Linked DNA regions of Oryctolagus cuniculus. The protein of the gene in region 3 interacts with the protein of the main gene of each other region in a biochemical or structural test. Links are inferred from orthologs where the notes say so. Each region holds a gene or a part of one and is shown on either strand. Other genes may lie near its edges.

Region 1 (4,235 bases), on a different chromosome or scaffold from region 3:
TTCCCCCCGCCCCCTACTCACACAACGGAGACCCCCTTAGTACTATACACCTCCACCTTCCGAAACCGCCTCTCCGCGGGAGTCACTTCTGCCTTCGCCCGTCAACGATAACTTTCTCACTGTGTTCCTCCTCACTAACTTCCGAACCCCTTCCCCGGGTTCCTTTCCCACCCAACCGGCCACTCCTCACCAGGCTGTCCTTAGCCCGCCACTACAGGAATCCAAATGCAGCGCTTTTCCCGCCAAAACTTGCTTGCGTCACCGTGTCGCAAACGAGCGCGTCCTTGCCGTAAAGTAGGGCAGCGCACGTTCCCATGCCTGCCTCCTCTGAAGACTGGCTGCTGCTAACGCCCCGCGCCAGGAGGCGGTGCCTCCAGCGGACGTCTTCAGCCTGCCGGGCACGGGCTACTTTGTAATCCGTGAGGTTCCTGGTTGAAGAAATTTAGGAGCTGCCCGTCCCGTCAGTGGGAATTGGCCTCTGGGCCAAATGCGAAACGACATCCGGTGTGTGGAGCCCGACTGGGCGGAGGGGAAGCCTCCGTCCCAAAGCGGGCCATCCCTGCGGGCCGGGGGGTCCCCGCTTTGCTCCGGGAAAGGCTACGTCGCTATTCTAAGTAAAGCGACCGGCCCGCGACCTCCGCGCACCTGCACGGCGGAACTGCGGGCAGCGTCGTAAACACTGTGTCAGCTTGAGTGCCGGACCCATTCTCGAGCCGAGAAGCTTGCAACAGCTGTTGAGAGTGGAGCCTGTGAAGAATGAGTGAATTCTGACGTGGGAGCCAGAGGCATCTAATGTTTTTGGAGTTGGCGGTAATGTCAGGAGAACCAGTTTTGCCTTGTCTGTGAAAAGCCTCCAAAACAATACTTCAGCCAATCTTTTTGAAGGATGACCATCTGCCTAGTTTAGTTCTGCTAGCTTTCTAATTCTTAATGTATAAGAAATAGGTAAGTGGAAGCCAAAATAAAAATTTACAATACAAATATAAAAGCAAACTTGAATGGCAAACCAAACTCTGAGGAAAAGGACTTAACTAAACAGTCTGGAAAGTGAGAATTCAAGGTACCAACACGGTCATCTCCATTAAGTATGCCAGTCCTCAAAGCTGAGCCGCATACACCTAGCAAAACGAGCTACTGTCATACTAGTAATAGGTGTAAAATATATTGCACCAAATATGCACACGTCTGACTGAAAAGAAGCAAACTTAGGGGCAGAAATCAAGAATAAATCTCCAGCTGCTTTCCGTATGAAGCTTTGAAACATGGTATTACAGTTTCGGTTTCATGTAATACACAGCAACTGTTCTAGATGCATACTGTATGCTGCAAACAATATGAAGAGGTCAGATAAAGGCAGTCATAGTGCTGCAGCAGTTTAAGCCACTGCATGGGACACCCACGTCCCACTTATCAGAGTGCTTGGTTGGAGATCCAATCCACCTTCCTGCTAATGAGCCTGAGAGTCTTAGCCCAAGTACTTCAGCTCTTGCCACCCACGTGAGATCAGGAATTTGGGGAATGAACCAGTGAATGGAAGACATCTGCCACTATTAAAAAAGGAAAAGGAGGGGCCACGTTGTGTCAAAGGGGGTGAAGCTGCCACCTGGACACCAGCATCCCATATGGGCGCCGGTTCGAGTCCCAGCTGCTCCACTTCCAACTCAGCTCCCTGCTAACGTGCCTGAGAGAGCAGCTGAGGATGGCCCAAGTGCTTGGGCCCCTGCTCTGGTGTGGGAGTCCAAGAAGCTCCTGGCTTCAACCTGCTCCAGTTCTTGCTATTGCAACCATCTGGGGAGTTAACCAGTGGATGGAAGATGTCTTTCCTTTATAACTGCCTTTCAAACAAGTAAAATCTTTTAAAAAAGGAAAAGGAGCTGCACAGTTCTCATGTAGTCTGGATAGAATACATCATTTTAGCCTGAAAAAGGGTATGCAGATTTAGGCAGAATACCATTTAAAGGTAGAATATATGAGATAGCACTTCTGAGAATAGATCGTTCCCTTATGAAACCTTACAAAAATAATAGTAAGGGATAAATTTTTAAAAAACCATTAAGAATGGTTAATAAAATGTTGGAAAATGGAAGACCTTTAGATGAAAGGTACTAACTTAAGTGAAATAAAGATAAATCCCAAAGATAGCAATAGGAAAACAGAAAAGCAACTTATTTACATCTCAGAAATCCCAAAAGGTTCAAGTTGAATTGCTGAATCCAGGTAATGCTGAATGTAGAGGTGAAAGTGGGGTTAAAAACAGACAGAAAGACCATAAGAAACAAAGAAACCACTGTCCCTTTTATCCCCATTCCTCCATGCACCAAGGATCTAGTCAACATCAAAACTAGGATAATACTAGAAAAGGTAAATGCATGGCATATGAACTGAGTTCAGCATTTCCGTGTTAGGCATGGTTTTTGCTTGAGTACTTTAAAGCAATAGAATTGAGTTTATGCACTGAAGGTTGAGCCTTAGATTTTCCTTCCCTACTATACTAACAGAAAACTGACAGCTTGGCTTATATACTTAAGTAAGAGGATACACAAACCTTTTCAAAGGATGCTCACCTATGTAGGAGAAAAATAACCTAAAAATATCAGCGTCAGAGATTTCCCAATTTAACAGTCTAGCCCAATCACAATAGATTGCAACTGAGGGGCTGGCCGGCGCCCCGGCTCACTAGGCTAGTCCTCTGCCTGTGGCGCTGGCACTCCAGGTTCTAGTCCCGGTTGGGGTGCCGGATTCTGTCCCGTTTGCTCCTCTTCCAGTCCAGCTCTCTGCTGTGGCCAGGGAAGGCAGTGGAGGATGGCCCAAGTCCTTCTTCCAAGACCAGGAAGAAGCACCTGGCTCCTGGCTTCAGATCAGCGCAGCACGCCGGCCATAGAGGCCATTTGGGGAGTGAACCAACGGAAAACCTTTCTCTCTGTCTCTCTCTCTCTCACTGTCTAACTCTGCCTGTCAAAAAAAAGAAAGAAAGAAAGAAAAGAAACTGAGGGGCCAGTGCTGTGGCATAGCAGGTAAAGCCGCTGCCTGCAATGCTGGCATCCCTTATGGGCACCAGTTCAAGTCCCGGCTGCTCCACTTCTGATCCAGCTCTCTGCTATGGCCTGGGAAAGCAGAAGGTGGTCCAATTCCTTGGGTCCCTGAACCCACGTGGGAGACCCAGAAGTAGCTCCTGGCTCCTGGCTTTGGATCTGCCCAGCTCCAGCCAGTGTGGCCGATTGAGGAGTGAACCAGCGGATGGAAGATTCTCTCTCTCTCTGCCTCTCCTCCTCTCTGTGTAACTCAAATAAATAAATCTTAAAAAAAGAAAAGAAAGAAAAGAAACTGATATCAATAAGCTCTGCCCCTAGCAAACCTTTCAATGAGCTTTTTAGGATCCAAGTCAAAAAAGCAGACAACCAAGAATTTGAGAGTCTTTAATTGGAAAAATGTCAAAACAAAGGAATATTCAAACCCAAAAAAAAAGCTTTTGATCACTAAAAATATAGCAGAAAAAAACTATTTTAAGTAGAAAAATAAAGTTGAGGAAGTCTCCCAGAAGGAAGATGGAAAGCAACAAGAATACTAGGAGATTTAATTCAGAAAGTTCAACATCAAAATAAGTAATTTTTCAGAAAGAAAGAGGGTTGGAGGAATTCACATGGAATACAAGAATATTTACCAGAACTGAAGAACTTCACTTTCCATATTTAAAAATTCAAAGTACTCAGCAAAATGAATGACTCACTTAAAACACATCATTGGGATCAGCACAGCTCCGGCCGTTGCAGCCATCTGGAGAGACCTCTCTCTCTCTGTCTCTACCTCTCTCTGTAACTCTTTCAAATAAATAAAATAAATCTTAAAAAAAAAAAAACAACTTTAAAGATTCTAAGAGGTCTGCAATGAGTGGGAGGGAAAAGACATACCAAAAAACAGGACAGTATTCATTTCTCAAAATTTGGAATAAACAGCAGGCCAATGCCTTCACAATGATCCTAAAGTAAATTATTCCCAACCTGAAATATCCAGCCAACCTATGAATTGAGTGTGACAAGAAACATGCAATCTCAAGAAATTTATCTCCTTCAAACACTTTGTCAGGAAGGTATTTAGAGGTGATAAGAGGGCGCGTGGGGGATATTATGTTTGGCAGGCCAGCATCCCCTATTGGAGTAGTGGGTCAAGTCCTGACTGCTGCTTCATTTCTAATCCAGCTCTCCACTAATGTGCCTGGGAAAGCCACAGAGGATGGC
Region 2 (3,512 bases), on a different chromosome or scaffold from region 3:
TTGTTAGTAACAGTTTTCTTTTGAGACAAAAAGCACAAGAAAAATAGGCTGCGATTGCTCGTAAATTCTAGGCAGATGCAAACCTGTTCCCAGGCCTAACTGGCCAGCTCCACTCCCCACCCCCACCCGGCCAAATGGACATAGCTCCTTATCTCTACATTTGGGCTCCAAGAGTTTCCCTGTTAGGACACATGAAAAGAGCCAAGAAGCATGTTTCTCTTTCTCACCAAAATTAAATCCCCACATGCATAGGGCATCCTTTGTCTCCAAACTCCTTTGCTCCGGGGTCCTGCTGTTTCAAGTCTGTGTGGTCTATTAAATGCTAAATCATCTGACAGATTTCTTCTGGGGGGGACTGCAGTTTCCAGGGCAACATCCAAAACACATATATCTGCCTTTTTTTTTCTTTTAAGGATTTGCTGCTCTCAACCTGAGCTGAGTTGAGCAAACTGTTAGGTGTAGAGGGTAGCAAGAGTGAAGGCACAATCTTCCAGGAGTCCCAAAAGTATGGAGCTGAGGCCAAATGGTCCAACGAGTTCCTAGACCAGCAATCCCCATAGTGATGGCCTCTTTCTTGAGCGACATGGCTTAAGAGACCATGCACACACGAGACCAAAGGTTAACAGAAATAAGAATGGCTGTACTGAGAAGACTAGACATCCATCAGAAATCCTACCCCATGCTGTAGCTAATTCCAAAACTAAAGACTACCCTAGCAAAGCCACAAAGGACTTCCAACTCTGGCAGCTCCAAATGAGGTCAGTGCACAACTGAATGGCAACCACAACCCCCAGCAGGAAGATGAGGGTAATGCAGACTTGAAAGGTGCAGGTGACAGCCCACACTGATGGCATGCTTACTCACCATGAACCAGAAGTGGGACCCTGACATCCAATTACTGGGGCTTGAGAAATAGCTGCATTCTCCCCCAGGAAGTCAACCCTCCTCCACCTCCCCCAGGTTCCCAGATTCAAGGCTGCTGATGGCTGGAATGCAGCCCACCCATCCTGGGACGGCAGGGAATGGGGTGGGGGGGTGGGGGTGGAGTATTGTTAAGGGTGGAGCCAGAGAAATCTCTCAAAGGAACAGAGCCAAATGTAGACTCAGGGCAGCCAAGTGGGGCTGGAATAAGCCATAAAGTGCTTGTCCATCCAACAGCCTCAATAATAGCACAGAGATTACATGCCACAAATATACATACAACCACACCCTACCTATTACCTACAGCTTGATCTAAAATAATTGAACAGACCGAAGGAAACAAATGTGTTTCTGTCCTCTTCTTCCTCCTCTTCCTCCTCCTTCTTCTTTCTCTCTCTCTCTCTCTCTGCCATTTGAGGGCCCTCCATGTATTTTATGCTAGCAAAAATTGCCCCACACCAACCTGAAGCCAAGGGTGATTTAAAGCTTCTTCTGTTGTAAGACGCACCTTTGGGTCCACTACCAACAACTTCTTGACGAGGTCCAGAGCTAAAGCAACAAGATAATTGGGCAGAGCACAGTGAAAAGGATCAATACATGGAATCAGCAATATTAAAGTATACCAGAGTTACAGGCCACCATCCAGAAAGAGAGAGGGTCTGAGATCACCATGGAGTCAGCAGAACGGTGGGCAGGGCCCCTGTTCCTCCTCACTCCCAGTGTCCAAAGTACTCTACTCTGAACACCTGGGTTGATAATGATACTCCCTGTGTCTCCCTTCTGGGACATTACAACCTCTCAGCTCCTGTTCCCTGTTACTGGACTCAAGTTCAAAACTAATTACAGCTGAACTTTCACCCAGTTGTAAGAAACTCAGGATGCATAGCCAGCTCGCTCTCGCGCGCTCTCTCTCTCTCTCTCTCACCCAGGGGCTGATGCTGCCAGTTCCTAAACCAGAAAGAGGCTCCCTGGAACTGCAGCCTTGTTGGAAAAGAACTACTCCAGCAATCAACAGTTCCAGGCTGGTTTATCTACCCCAACAATGCTATTCCTTAAACATTCCGACATTTAACAGAATCACCTAGGTTACATTGTTTGACATTTAGTTTTCATTCTCTACTTCTTCTTCAGGGAATTACAAGGTTGCACTTTTAAGTTATAAAATACAATGGCATCTGGCTTTTACACTACTTAAAGGAAACTTTGCAACTGAAGAGTTACTTATTATTTTGCTCACTCAACTGGGAAACAGGCACTTGTATAAAGGATACTTAAGCCTTATAAAAGGCCTCTAAAGTAAGGGTTATTAAGGGCCCAGTTGACAAATAAAGACAATGGGGACTGGGAGGGGTTAAGTTACCTGCCTAAGGCCAAACAGCTATGCAGATCCAGGACTTGAGCCCAGGCTCTTAGAATAAAATTCCTCTGCTTTTCAAGTGGTGCAAAACTAACACTAGAAGCTAAGAACAGAATTGACAGGAGAAAACATATCATAGAATTTGAAAAGAAGCTCCCACCACAGCACACACACATTTTGGCAAACCACAGACTCTTAACCCTTTCGTATCCATACCCTTCTCTGAAACATCTGCCCAGACTTCAGGAATGAAGTTGTATTTTCCACTGGTGATCTGATCCTTCAGGGACACTTGCGTCTTATGCTCAGAGAAAGGTGGATACCCACTAAGGCTTAATATTGGCAGAAAGAGAAAGGAGAAGAAATCAAGTGGCATTTTCAGTGGCATTTGGACATATGGATGTCTTTTTCATTACCATGAAAAATCAAGTATTTCTTTAGATCCATGGTTGAAAAGTGACCTCAATGAAACCTGGAATCCATCTGAACAAGTTTACGATTTCATCTAATCACCTCCAACCAGACTGTGAGGCAATGAAAGCTTTTCTTACCAGATAAAAAGGATGACGCCCAGGCTCCAGCAGTCCACAGCGCGGTTATACCCGGCTGTCCCAATGGACAGAAGAACCTCAGGAGCCAAGTAGGTGGGGGTACCACACAAGGTTCTCATGAGCGAGGTCTCCCCCAAAATCTTGGACTGCCCAAAATCAGTAATCTAAAAATAAGCACAAAAGGGAATAACAAATAATATAAACATATATTATACAGAGTATATATACACATGTGTGTGTATGTGTTTGTGTGTGTATTGATGAACAGACTCTGCCAGTCCCAAAAGACATGTAAGGGAGGGTGCTGTGGCACAGCTTCAGATATCCACAACCCATATTATCCCATATTTGAGTCCTGGCTATCTGCACTTCCAATAAAGCTTCCCCATAACGTACCTGGGAGGCAATGGATGGCCCAAGTACTTGGATTCCTGCCACCCATTTGGGAGATCCAAGATTTCCTGGCTCCTGGCTTGTATTAGCTTTTCCCTGGCAGTTCAGGGGGGCAATAGGGAATGAACCAGCAGATGGAGGATCTCCTTCTCACTCTTTTTCTGTCTCTCCTTCTTTCTGTCACTCTGCCTTTCAAATAAATAAATATATCTTTTTGGCCACTGTTGTAGCACAGCAGGTGAAGCCACCACCTACAATGCTTGCATCTCATATGAGCACAGGTTCAAGTG
Region 3 (3,512 bases):
TTCCTCCAGATCTCCCGTGTGGGTGCAGGGGCCTAAGCATTTGGGCCATCCTCCACTGCCCTCCCAGGCACATAGCAGGGAGCTGGAAAGGAAATGGAGCAGCTGGGACATAAACCACCAGCATCTATATGGGATGCCAGTGTCATAGGCAGCACCTTAACCAGCTATGCCACAACGCCAGCCCCGGAGTCCAATCTTAATTATTCCCTCATGGATCAGACCCCACCTGTGATCTTGCTCCAAAGAGTTTCAGCAGAGTATGCTTCCTGGGCCCCCTTCTGGTGTCCATGCAAATTCAATGAGGTTTCCAGGGCCTGGTGCTAGTCATCCAGGAAGTCCTCCAAAGGGAAGAATCCATTGGCTTGAGGGGTCGCTCCATTCCCTGCCTACAAAGGTAGCAAAGTCAGAGGCAGATGCATTCGTGCGGACGCTCCCTTTTCACCCAGGGAAAATTAAACCTCTTCAAAGTGGGGAGAGGCAGAACTCAGTCCATCACTCATGGAAGTAAGCAGTAGTGACACCCTGCCCTGTAGAGATTGGCCGGAGGTGGGTAGGGGTCCCAGGTGTGTAGGTCCTTCTCCATTACCTAATCTGGATATCTGAGGAGCAATGGCTGTACCTTCTGTTCTTGTTTGAGGTTTGAAGGTGAAGCCCTGGCTGTCACTGTGGCCTGGCAATAACAAATATGGGTCACACTGAGGTCAACATGAAGAGACACAGCTCACTGCTTATCACAGTGAATCGGGAGCCTAGATAGTAATTTCTGGGAATGACATAAGATCAATATCCTCTATCTAACAGAAAAAGTACATCTTCATCTTCATGTCAGTCTAAACACCTAGCTTCTTACTATCCTGATGTTCTTTCTTCTGGGAAGTGTAAATTAGATATATTCCAATCCCCTCAGAAGTCAAGATACAAAAGACAAAATTTGACTTCCCTTTAAAATACATCGAAGCAGAAATCAATGCACACACTCTTAATTCCTGCCTGATTTTCCAGCTCATTTGGTAGAGTAAGGCTTTGTGCTGACTCCCACACTCAGCACCTCTGTCCTGGAGGACAAAGACTGTTCACAAACCTCCTTTCTGGGGAAGCAGGCTCCACAGATGAAAAAGTTAAAATAAAACTCATCTGACTAGTCTGCACTGCTCATTCACTACCATCACCAAGATCCTGAGGTCAATATAAGTTGTATTGCTGACTTACTGCATCTCAAAGATAACGTTTGCATTTCTGACTTTTATTTCTCAAAGTGGGGTCTGTGAGCCATCTGTATGGGTAGTACCCTGGGGTGAGGTGGTTAGGTCTTGATAATACCTGGTCCCCACACTACACCTGTGGCAACATCTTTTTTGGGGCCTGCATTTTAAACAGCTTTTATAAGCTTATAAAGCTTTTTTTTAATATGAGCCATTCTAAATACACACTGAAGTGTGACGAGTATAGCATAATCCCTTACCTAAGTATGGTCCCAAGTCCAAGTGCCTCAACATCAGCTGGGCATTTGTTTAAAGTGCAGGATCTTGGGACACAATGCAGCCCTGCTGAACAGACTCTGCATTTTGACAGGATCTCCAGATGATTAGAAGGCAAAACTAAATTTTAGGAAACCCTAATATGATGGACACCTCCATTACCCAAGAGTCATGACAAATCTCATCTATAAACCACCCAATTATTAAGAAGCATCTTCCCAGTATTAAAAAATTTCAACTAGTCAGTGTTCAGATTTCTAAAGATCTTTTGCACTGTGATAAGGATGGATTGTGCCTGGATGATTCAATTTCCTTACTTTCCCTGAGAAGCAATTTCTTTTTACCCACATAATTATCGACTGTGAGCTGCTGCGCTCTCAAAGGGACACCGGACAACGGAAGCTCCTTGGAAGGCACCTATCTTGCTTAGCATAAACACACACACCTGCTCACACCTCCACCTGCCACCCCGCAGCAAATGCCTGGTCCTCAGAGGAAAGCTAGCTAAGACGGAAAGGTCCCATAACGACGCAAGAAAAGCAAGGAAAAAATAATGCTTAAAACACCCTCACACTCCTAATTATCTCTTCTAATATCCTAGCAAATGGTGGTGGTTAACGAGGAGCAATTTAAATCTCCCGGGGTTGGCGGGGCGGGGCAAAGGGAAAGTACAGAGAAGGTGTGGCGATTGGCCAGAGGGAGAGCCAGTGGTGCGTCAGGCTCCCTGCGGGGCGGAGCCTATTCACAAGCTTGCCCGACGCTAGTGCACCACTCGCCATCCTGCTCTGGCTCCAGGGGTGGGGCATGTTTTGTCCCACTTCCGGAACCTGCTCACGCCCCCCGGGTGAGGTACGAGCCAAAAGATTGGCTACCAGGATGTGGGCGGGCGCGCGGAGATTGGCTGACGCGTCTTGGAGGCCAGCGGGGATAGGTTAGTGGGAGGGCGGAAGGTTTGAATGGTCGAGACTCGCGGCTGTTGATGGGCTTGTCCAGAGGCTCTAGCGCTGGCTTTCTGACCTGAGGGGCGGCGAAGCCCGACCCTGGCCTACGCAGTGGACAAGCGGAATTTCAAGCTGGTGAACCGCGTCCTTTCATTCTGCTCGAGTCTTCGCTCGTGTCCGACCGCTACCCACTTTCTCCCGAAGGCCGTTGTCAGACTACAAACGTGAGGTAAATTTGGCCGCTGTCTCCGCCACAGAGTGCCCAGGACCTCATTGTCCCCTCGATTAGTTCAGAGGACGGAATGGGCATTGCCATGACTTGGGAGAGCTGAGCCCCTTCCAGGTAGGAGTGTCCAGTTGTGTGGCTCTGAGCAGGTGGAAGGTCTGTCTGTATTCCGCGGTTAAAGTCCTGAGGTTGCCTCTCAGTAAGTGCAGGCTCTGACGCAAAAGCCCCGCCGCTTCGGGCCAGTGCCTTAGGCGTCGAGCGAGGCTGTGATCCGCCCTTTGGGGATGCCCCTGGTGCGGCTCCGGTCCCCTTGACTGCAGACCTGAGGGGGTTGGAATCGGAAGGGGCTGCGCTGCACTTACAGGAGCGACGTCCTCTTCTCGCTAGGTTTCGCCTTTTCCTTGGTGAGAGCTCCGAGACCATGGCTGCAGATCTCTTTTCGTCCACGAGAGAGGAGGGGAGCTTTGGCTCAGGCCCCAGTTTTAGGTCCAATCAGAGGAAGATGCTACACCTGCTCTTGGAGAGAGACAATTCCTTTACCCTCTGTCCAGAGCTCCCGAGAACTCCAGGGGACAGACTGCTTGGTGATTCTGCAAATCTCAGCGTTTTGTCTGGGTAAATCCACCTTTATTCTTAAAGCTTATATCCTTGACTTCTCTAAACAAGTGTGTGTGTGTGTGTGTGTGTGTGTGTGTGTTTTGTTTTTTAAATTATCCTGGCTCAAAGATCAACATTGGAGTCTCAGCTCTGCTCTGACCCTTTTGAATCTCAGACTACTTTTCTGTTGCATGGAACTAATAATCTCTTCCTGTCTTCCTGGGTTCTGGTAAGAGTCAAATAATGTGATATCTGGGAAAACTCCATATC
Region 4 (3,512 bases), on a different chromosome or scaffold from region 3:
ACATCACTTCCCAAGGCAGAAAGTCAGGTATAACAAACCCAAATCCAAGAGGTGCTTAATAGGACTTACAAACAAAAGGAGGTGGGAAAGAGGACCAAGCAATAGCATGTAAGAGAAAGCCTCACGGAGTTCCAGTTTACGTAAGTCTTTAAGGACAAGATTAATGGAAGGGAACTCAGGACAGAACGGCCGACTCAGGCTTCTCCCCTCTGCTTCCCTCTCAAACTGCTTACATGTAGAGAACTGTGCCAATGTGAGAGAAAGAAAGGATATGGAGGTGTAAGTAAACAACAGGCAACTAAAATGTCTGGAAGCACACAAATGGCATAAAATCCCACATGCTGAAGGCAACGCAGGAGGCAGAGGGAATTTCTTTTGCCCTTTGTGGTATGCAAAGGCACAAAAACACACAGAGATGACCAAGGACAGGGACAGGATGTGCTTAATCACAATCACATAGAAGGACACCTTGGGGACGACTGTAACAAAATCTTGGACTATAAAATCCACTGCACAGAATTGAGCAGCAGTGGGTACACGGCAGTTTCACAGGAATGTGGATTTTTCTTACACAGCCTTGAAGTTATCCCCTCCACTGTCTACTGGAGTTAGCATCATCCTGGGGTGCCCACAGGCTGACATCGACATCGACTTCTGATGTCTCAGCCGGCAGGTGGAGGATGTGGCACAAACTGAGGCAGTGCTAGCTGCGTAAGCGAACACTTCTGTCAGGCTGGGAGGGGTTTGGGTTCAGGCAGAGGCAGAAACAACAGTATGACGGAGTAATGGTGAAAAAAGAGGAAACTGCTATTCAAAGCACACACCTTCCTTCCCAAACAATCTCAGCTTTGTGAAAGAACAAAAATCTCTTATCTTGTTTCGGGGATTTTTGGTCTATCTGATAACCTAGAGCTGGCTTTTTTTCAAACAGTAATTTTAAAAGTTTATTAACTTAAAGAGTAAGTGTTATGTGTGAATTATCTATGTGAGAGTAACAGCACCCTCTGAGTTTGCTACAGGCAAAACAGCAATTCCCTTTAATCTTGACGGACACAGTCTAAGATGTTCAGAACCTGATACACTACGTTTTCTCCTATGCACACATATCAGTGATAAGATTTCATTTATAAATCAGGCAAATTAAGAAATTTAACAATAATATAGAAAAATATACTGTAATAGAAGTTGCTTAAAACTTAAGAATTGGGGCCAGCATCATGGCACTGGTGGTTCAGCTGGTTGTGACACCCACATCTTAGTTTCAGTCCCAGTTACTGTCCTTCTGATCCAGCTTCCTAACACACCAGGGGAGACTGCAGAAGATGGTCCAAATACTTGGGCCCATACCCACCCATGCAGGAGACCAGAGTTCCTGGCTCCTGGCTTCAGCCTGGTCCAGACCTGGCCACTGTGGCCATCTGGGAAGTGAACCAGTGGATGGAAGATCCCTTTCTGTCTCTCCCTTTCTACTTTCAAATAGATAAATACATATTAAAAAAGTAAAATAAATGAAAATTTATGAATTATTTCTAGAATCTTCCATTTAGTATTTCTGGACTATGGTTGACACTAGGTAGCTGAAATTGTCCAAAGCAAAACCTTGGATGAGAGGGGACAACTGGAGATAAGCATATTGTGCTGTCAATCTTTCTGAAAACACACTGACATATCATATCCTGTGTTGCTTTTTTTTTTTTTTTTTTTTTTTTTGACAGGCAGAGTTAGACATTGAGAGAGAGAAAGAGACAGAGAAAGTTCTTTTCTGTTGGTTCACCCCCCAAATGGCTGCTACGGCCGATGCACTGCATCGATCTGGAGCCAGGTGCTTCCTCCTGGTCTCCCATGTGGGTACAGGGCCCATCCTCCACTGCCCTCCCGGGCCAGAGCAGAGAGCTGGACTGGAAGAGGAGCAACTGGGACAGTGCCCCAACTGGGACTAGAACCTGGGGTGCCAGCACCGCAGGCAGAGGATTAGCCAAGTGAGCCGCGGCACCGGCCATGTTCTTTTAACAACAGTTTCAAACTTTGCTACTCATAGGACATCTATTCCTTTATAAAGGACAGCCAAAATTCCTAAAGAATCAAAGCTCCTTCTTTCAAGATGGGAAAATTCTTCAGAGCAAATTAGCTGTTTACAGACCCTACAGTGGTTGAAGGCTGCAGTTCACCTGCACAGACAGTTAAGGGCCAAAGCCACCCTGGAGGTCTCACTATGACCACTTCTACTCAACTCCAGTTCAGTCATAACATCTGCAGGATCCCAAGGGACAGTTTCTTTCCACTAGGGACAACAGAATTTTAGAATTTCCTCAACTCCCACTTACAGACCCCCTGTGACATCTGTGACACAGACCCTGGTGTCAATGTCTAGGAGCTCTTCAGTCGGCCCTCTCTCTCTGTCCACCTCTGCCATCAGAATCTGGTATAGGGCTTTGTTCCTCATCTTTATCATCTCCCTGACTTCATCCTCTACCTCCAATCTATCCACCAAATAGCTGTGAACTCCTCACAACACAAACATGGCCTGTCACTTATCTGCTCATACCCTTTTGCAGCAGTGAGTCAAACTCCTCATCTTCAGGTACCTGCGGTCTGCACCCTGCCACACTGCCAGGCTCCACCTTCTGTTGCTTCCTCTTGGAACCTGACTCTGGCTCTCCTGATCAGCACTAGTCAATGAACTTCTCCAGGAGCTTCCTCTCAGCCTGGAGAGCAGGCACCTATCCATGCACTCTGGAGGTCATTTCCTCCATGAAGTTTCCTCTGATGTGCTGCTCCTTTAGCGTCTGTAGTCATGTGTGCCACACTGGATCACAATGACTCTTTCCTACTGGGGCTCCCTGGAAGAATGGCCCATAATCTTGTCAGGGTGTCCCGTGGGGTCAGACGGAGCCCCAGGCAAAGCAGGTACTCAATATATGCTCTTCTTAAGGAGACTAGTTAGTCCAACAACAAGCTACTAGAATTCTGACATTCCTAACATGAGGGAGACAGGTCTTTAAAATGAACTGGTCAAAAAGGGCTGCTTACATTAGAAAAAAGTTTATTTTCATTTATTTGAAAGGTAGAGAGCGAAAGAATGCTTCCATCTGCTGAGTTACTCCCCAAATGCCAACAGCCAGGGATGGGACAGGCTGATGCCAGTAGCCTAGAACTCTATGTGGGTCTCCCACATGGGTAGCAGGTGCCCAGGCAATGGAGCCATCATCTACTGCTTCCTGGATGATAGAGCAGGAAAGCAGATTGGAAGTAGTTAGGACTCAAACCAGCACTCCCTATATAGGATGCAGGCATTCCAAGTGGTGGCTTAACCTGCTGCACCAACACCCACACCTGTCTTTGCACTTTTATTTGAGAATTTTTCCCTCTGCTTCGGGAGAGTGGCTCGATATAATCAGAGAATAACTGGAAACAAATGCCTTATATAATAAATAATTAGAAAGATCTCATTTTCCCCTATTTAAATGAAGGGCAGTGAATGAGAGATCAATCAACTGATCGATGATCTATTC
Region 5 (4,283 bases), on a different chromosome or scaffold from region 3:
CACCTCGGGCCTGGCATCCTGGTGGCCAATGGATGTGCGCACAAGGCCGCTCACCAAACAGGAGACTTCATCCCGCTCCTCAGGATGGTTCTTGTCTGGGGAAGAAGGCAGCTCCTCAGACTCCCGCCCTGCGCCCCTGCTCCCCGCGGGGTGCCACGCCTGCTCCCTCATGCCCGCGGCCTGTGTGACAAGCCACTCTGTACCCTCAACCTACGGACAGCTCAGACTCACTCTTATTCTTCTTCCTGCCAAAGAGGCTCTTGGTGACTTTGGCAAACAGACTCCTAGCCGGATTGGGGGGTGTCAGGTCTGGGACTGTCACGCAACTGCTGACGGGGAGCCGGTCGGGGGTGTAGCCCTGGGAAGAGGAGCGCCGCCGTGAACAGAGAAAAGAGGCTCCCGGGCCCTGTCCCCCCCACCCCTATTTATCTCTGGGAATGTGGGCTTCGGTGTCTGGGGAACCCACAGACCTTGGTAAAGAAGTCATGGCGCAGGATCTGGTCGATAGAGGGGCGGTCTCGGGGTGAGGCCCGCAGGATGGCGGCCAGGAGCTGCCGGGCAGGCAGTGAGAGGCTGGCGGGCAGCGTGTAGTGAACCTGCTTGATGCAGCGGTACGTCTCCTTCAGGTCAGCCGTCTCAAAGGGGGGGCTCCCACACAGCAGAGTGTACCTGTGGGGCCAGGCAAAGGGTAAGGGGGAGGGCACACCGCACCCCTGTGCCCACCCCCGTCTCTCCCTGGCACTCACATGACACAGCCCAGTGACCACACATCTGCCTCAGGGCCATGACCCTGTCTCAGCAGTACTTCTGGAGCCACATAGTTGGGGGTGCCACAGATGGTCCTGGAAGAAGGTAGGGAGGAGGAGGGGGAGGCTCAGCCCCAGCCCCACAGCCCTCCCTGCCCCCGCTGCGAGTCCAGACAAAGCAGCTGCCTGTCACCAAAGGCCAGAGAACTCCTGCTTGTCCTGGGACAATGGATGCTGGGGACGGCAGCTGAGTCCCCGCCTACTCTCTTGGCCCAGCTGCTCAGCTGCGCTATGGGACAGGCAGAGGCCCTGACCCCCAACTCAGCCCCCTCCTCCACAGAGGGCCTGCTACAGCTCCCTTCCCCTCCCCCACTCCCGTCTGTCAGACACCCTCCTAAGGTCTGCGCCACACACACCAACACCAGCTGTCACATCGCCCGTAAACACTCATCTGCCCCACATGCTACGTGTGTCATGCACGCCCAGTCACAATGGCCACAGGACGTCACGTCCCACCATCCCCACGCTCTCTGTCTCACACATACAGGTCTACACTGGCACCTTCCCCCATCCACACCCAGGGTCAGCCACACACCTCTGAGAGTCCTGGCACCTCAGACGCAGGGCCACCAACCCCCTCTGTGTTTGTCATGCACCTCCCCAGTCACAGCGACCCAGGCTGCCACCTCCACCTTCGCACACAAACAACCCCATTACCCTTTCCTCGTTTACCACCAGCACACACCCGGCCGTCACACTGCCTCCCACGTCCATACGCACAGTCTGCCACACACACTGATCTGTGTCACACACAGACTGTGGCCACCCCTCCCATCAAACACTTACTTCTTCCTCTGCTCTGGCGGTTCCAACCGAGCTGCCAGCCCAAAATCCCCCACCTTGAGTTCCATGTTCTCGGTGATGAAGAAATTTCCTGGACAAGGACAGAGAGGTGTGTCAGAGCCCTCCCTCGCTTCCTCCCCAACCCCCCATCCTTGGGGCCCAGGAGCCTCACCCAGCTTGAGGTCCCGGTGCAAGATGCCTCGCTGGTGCAAGTACTTGAGGCCGGAAAGAATCTGCCGCAGGTAGTAGCGAACCTCTGGCTCCAACAGGGTGTGTCGGGCCTTCCAGATGTGGGCCAGGGACTGCAGAGAGCCACTGTCTTAGCCCACCCCACGCCACCTCCGCCCGCCCCCAGCTCTGAGTCTTAAGACCGCCCCCCCACCCCGCCGTCCCCCTGCCCCATCCCCGCCAGAATCACCATTCCTCACCTTTCGACTGCAAAGCTCCAGAAAAATGTATATGTTGTCAGCATCCTCAAAGTGGTGCGAGAAGCGCACGATATGGCGGTGCTGCAGGTCTCGGTGCAGTTCAATCTCGTTCAGGATCTGCGATGGGGGTGCGAGGCGGTCATCCTCCCAAGATTCCCACGCCACCGACCCCACCCCTCGGCCGCCGGGCCCGGACCCACCTTCTCGCGCTGATGCGGCTTGGCGACACGACTCTGCGGGATGACTTTGACCGCGTAGGCGCTGCCGGTCTCTGTGTCGGTGGCCTCGTAGCAGCGGGCGAAGCCCCCCTATGAGGAGAGGCCATCAGGCCGGGAGCTCCAGGGAAGGCGGATCTGGCCCGCAGGCAGGCGTCCCCGCGTCGGGTCACGCGCCCCTACCCCGCCCGACGCCGGAAAAGAGATCGGCGGAGCCCCCTCCACCCCACCCGCATCACGGAGAGCCCCCGACCCACCTTGCCCAACAAGCGGCCTTTGAAGTAGGTGCGGCCGCTGCCCGGGTCGGTGATGAGGCGCCCGGGGTCCGGCGCCGGCCGCCCGGCCAGCATCTCGGGCTCGGGTCTGGGCGAGGCACTCTGAGGCGGCCCGGGTCCGGCGGGGGGCGCGGGCGGGGCGGCCGCACGCGGGAAAGGGCGCGGGGACAGGAAGCCGGCGGCAGGCTCCATGCGGACAGCGCGACGCAGCGCGGCCCCGGCTTGCTCTCCGTTCCGCCCGGCCCCGGCCGCGCGTGGCGCTGCCTGGATTTGCTACGCTGCGCTCGCGCCTGAGGGAGCCCGGCGTTTTTATCAATGAACGCCTGTCCCCACCCCGGCGTCTCGTCACCGACAGCCCCGCCCCTTCCTGGCCGCGAGTCCCGAGAAGCCACGCCCCTTGCCGGCCTTGCGTCACCTAAAAGCTCCTCCTCCTCCTCGACGCGCTTCGAGGCCCCGCCTCCCGCCCACCCTGTAAAGCAGGCGCTACCCTGCCGGTCGCCAGGCAGGTGCCAGTGGGGCGCTCGGGCTAACTGAGGCTTGTCTCCCCGTACACCCCTCCCTGGCCGCGTCCCGCTAAAGGGTCCTCCTTCCTTTCCATATTCTTCGGTGTGGGCACTGAAGTTGCAGTGAGGGGCAGGCATGGGCGGAGTCTCCAGCGGGGATGGAGAGCCTTATTTCTTCCAGGGCCATTTGGTTACCTATAACATCTTTACAAAATGATCAGCTTAAAAAGTATCCTGCTGTTGGGGCCTGCATTGTGTCCTGGTGGGTAAAGCCCATAAAGCTTTCCATATGGGCACCAGATATGGGCACCGGTTCCAGTCCCGGCTGCTCCACTTCTGATCCAGCCCTCTGCTAACGGCCTGGGAAAAGCAATGAGAAAATGGCCCAAGTGTTTGGGCCCCTGCCATCCACGAGGGAGACCCGGAAGAAACTCCTGGCTTCACTGTGCTCATCTGGGGAGTGAACAGCAGGAGGAAGATCTCCCTGTCTCTCCTTCTCTCTCTCTAACTCTGACTTCCACATAAATAAATAAATCTCTTTAAAATTAGCCTGCTATAGATTTATTGAATTTAGAGTCTACCTGCTGATTGTCTTGGCAGGGCCAGATCAAATTGCTTCCTGAGCCTTAACCACTCACCCCAGGCCGGCAGGGCGTTCCCCACCTGTGATAGGTGGATCACACTGGGACCTTGGATGAGGAGGCTCTAGCTTTCGTCTGGGTGTGTCAGGGCGTGTCACCCACATTACCCTTACAGCATTCAGTACCTAGAGGTCCCACGCCTGGGCCAGGCCAGCCGGGCCAGGCCAGTGCTGCCCCCTGTAGAGAGTGACAGGAATGGCACACTCTGGAGCCGAGCTTGGAAAGTGGAGGGAGACAGAGATCTGGTTCCCTCCCTAAATGGCCACAGCAGCTAGAGCTGGGCCAGGTTGAAGTTGGGAGCAGGAACTCCATCCTGGAGTCTCACATGAGTGGCAGGGGCCCAAGGACTTGGGCCATCCTCAGCTGCCTCTCCAGGTGCACTAGCAGGAAGCTGAATCGGAAATGGAGCAACTGGGATTCCAACCGGCACCCATATGTGATTCTGATGTTACAGGCAGCAGCAGCTGGTCCTGGGGCCGTCTGGAGTCAGACCCCGCTTGGTGCCCACCTTTCCCAGGGCCAGAGACAGAGATGGGGTCTGAACTCCTCTGGAGTGTTCGTGCAATGACCACAGCTCCTCTCAATTCTGTCCTCACCCTGTACCATCCAATCAGTTGCTAAAGTCACTCAGC

Evidence for each region.
Region 1: of the proteins of CDC25C (region 3) and CHEK1, one has a biochemical effect on the other in vitro, tested with the Homo sapiens proteins (16 studies listed by BioGRID and IntAct, with this or other methods). The link is inferred for Oryctolagus cuniculus from reciprocal best matches to the Homo sapiens genes CDC25C and CHEK1.
Region 2: of the proteins of CDC25C (region 3) and CHEK2, one has a biochemical effect on the other in vitro, tested with the Homo sapiens proteins (14 studies listed by BioGRID). The link is inferred for Oryctolagus cuniculus from reciprocal best matches to the Homo sapiens genes CDC25C and CHEK2.
Region 4: of the proteins of CDC25C (region 3) and MARK3, one has a biochemical effect on the other in vitro, tested with the Homo sapiens proteins (3 studies listed by BioGRID, with this or other methods). The link is inferred for Oryctolagus cuniculus from reciprocal best matches to the Homo sapiens genes CDC25C and MARK3.
Region 5: of the proteins of CDC25C (region 3) and PLK3, one has a biochemical effect on the other in vitro, tested with the Homo sapiens proteins (2 studies listed by BioGRID, with this or other methods). The link is inferred for Oryctolagus cuniculus from reciprocal best matches to the Homo sapiens genes CDC25C and PLK3.

The regions. Positions count from the first base shown.
Region 1 is NC_091432.1:118,825,406-118,829,640, reverse strand, and holds the start of CHEK1 (serine/threonine-protein kinase Chk1), read right to left. Parts: upstream 2,809-4,235; 5' UTR 191-2,808; intron 177-190; exon of another isoform or gene 22-176; intron 1-21. UniProt on the Homo sapiens protein: Serine/threonine-protein kinase which is required for checkpoint-mediated cell cycle arrest and activation of DNA repair in response to the presence of DNA damage or unreplicated DNA.
Region 2 is NC_091452.1:22,137,780-22,141,291, forward strand, and holds part of CHEK2 (serine/threonine-protein kinase Chk2), read right to left. Parts: intron 2,994-3,512; coding exon 2,830-2,993; intron 2,611-2,829; coding exon 2,495-2,610; intron 2,382-2,494; exon of another isoform or gene 2,282-2,381; intron 1,471-2,281; coding exon 1,385-1,470; intron 1-1,384. UniProt on the Homo sapiens protein: Serine/threonine-protein kinase which is required for checkpoint-mediated cell cycle arrest, activation of DNA repair and apoptosis in response to the presence of DNA double-strand breaks.
Region 3 is NC_091437.1:26,129,335-26,132,846, reverse strand, and holds part of CDC25C (M-phase inducer phosphatase 3), read left to right. Parts: intron 1-2,432; exon of another isoform or gene 2,433-2,762; intron 2,763-3,032; 5' UTR 3,033-3,066; coding exon 3,067-3,260; intron 3,261-3,512. UniProt on the Homo sapiens protein: Functions as a dosage-dependent inducer in mitotic control. Tyrosine protein phosphatase required for progression of the cell cycle. When phosphorylated, highly effective in activating G2 cells into prophase.
Region 4 is NC_091451.1:46,337,388-46,340,899, reverse strand, and holds part of MARK3 (MAP/microtubule affinity-regulating kinase 3), read right to left. Parts: intron 734-3,512; coding exon 572-733; intron 1-571. UniProt on the Homo sapiens protein: Serine/threonine-protein kinase. Involved in the specific phosphorylation of microtubule-associated proteins for MAP2 and MAP4. Phosphorylates the microtubule-associated protein MAPT/TAU. Phosphorylates CDC25C on 'Ser-216'.
Region 5 is NC_091438.1:128,082,238-128,086,520, forward strand, and holds the start of PLK3 (serine/threonine-protein kinase PLK3), read right to left. Parts: upstream 2,806-4,283; 5' UTR 2,700-2,805; coding exon 2,490-2,699; intron 2,326-2,489; coding exon 2,218-2,325; intron 2,135-2,217; coding exon 2,018-2,134; intron 1,892-2,017; coding exon 1,762-1,891; intron 1,681-1,761; coding exon 1,593-1,680; intron 843-1,592; coding exon 747-842; intron 670-746; coding exon 471-669; intron 359-470; coding exon 232-358; intron 96-231; coding exon 4-95; intron 1-3. UniProt on the Homo sapiens protein: Serine/threonine-protein kinase involved in cell cycle regulation, response to stress and Golgi disassembly. Polo-like kinases act by binding and phosphorylating proteins that are already phosphorylated on a specific motif recognized by the POLO box domains.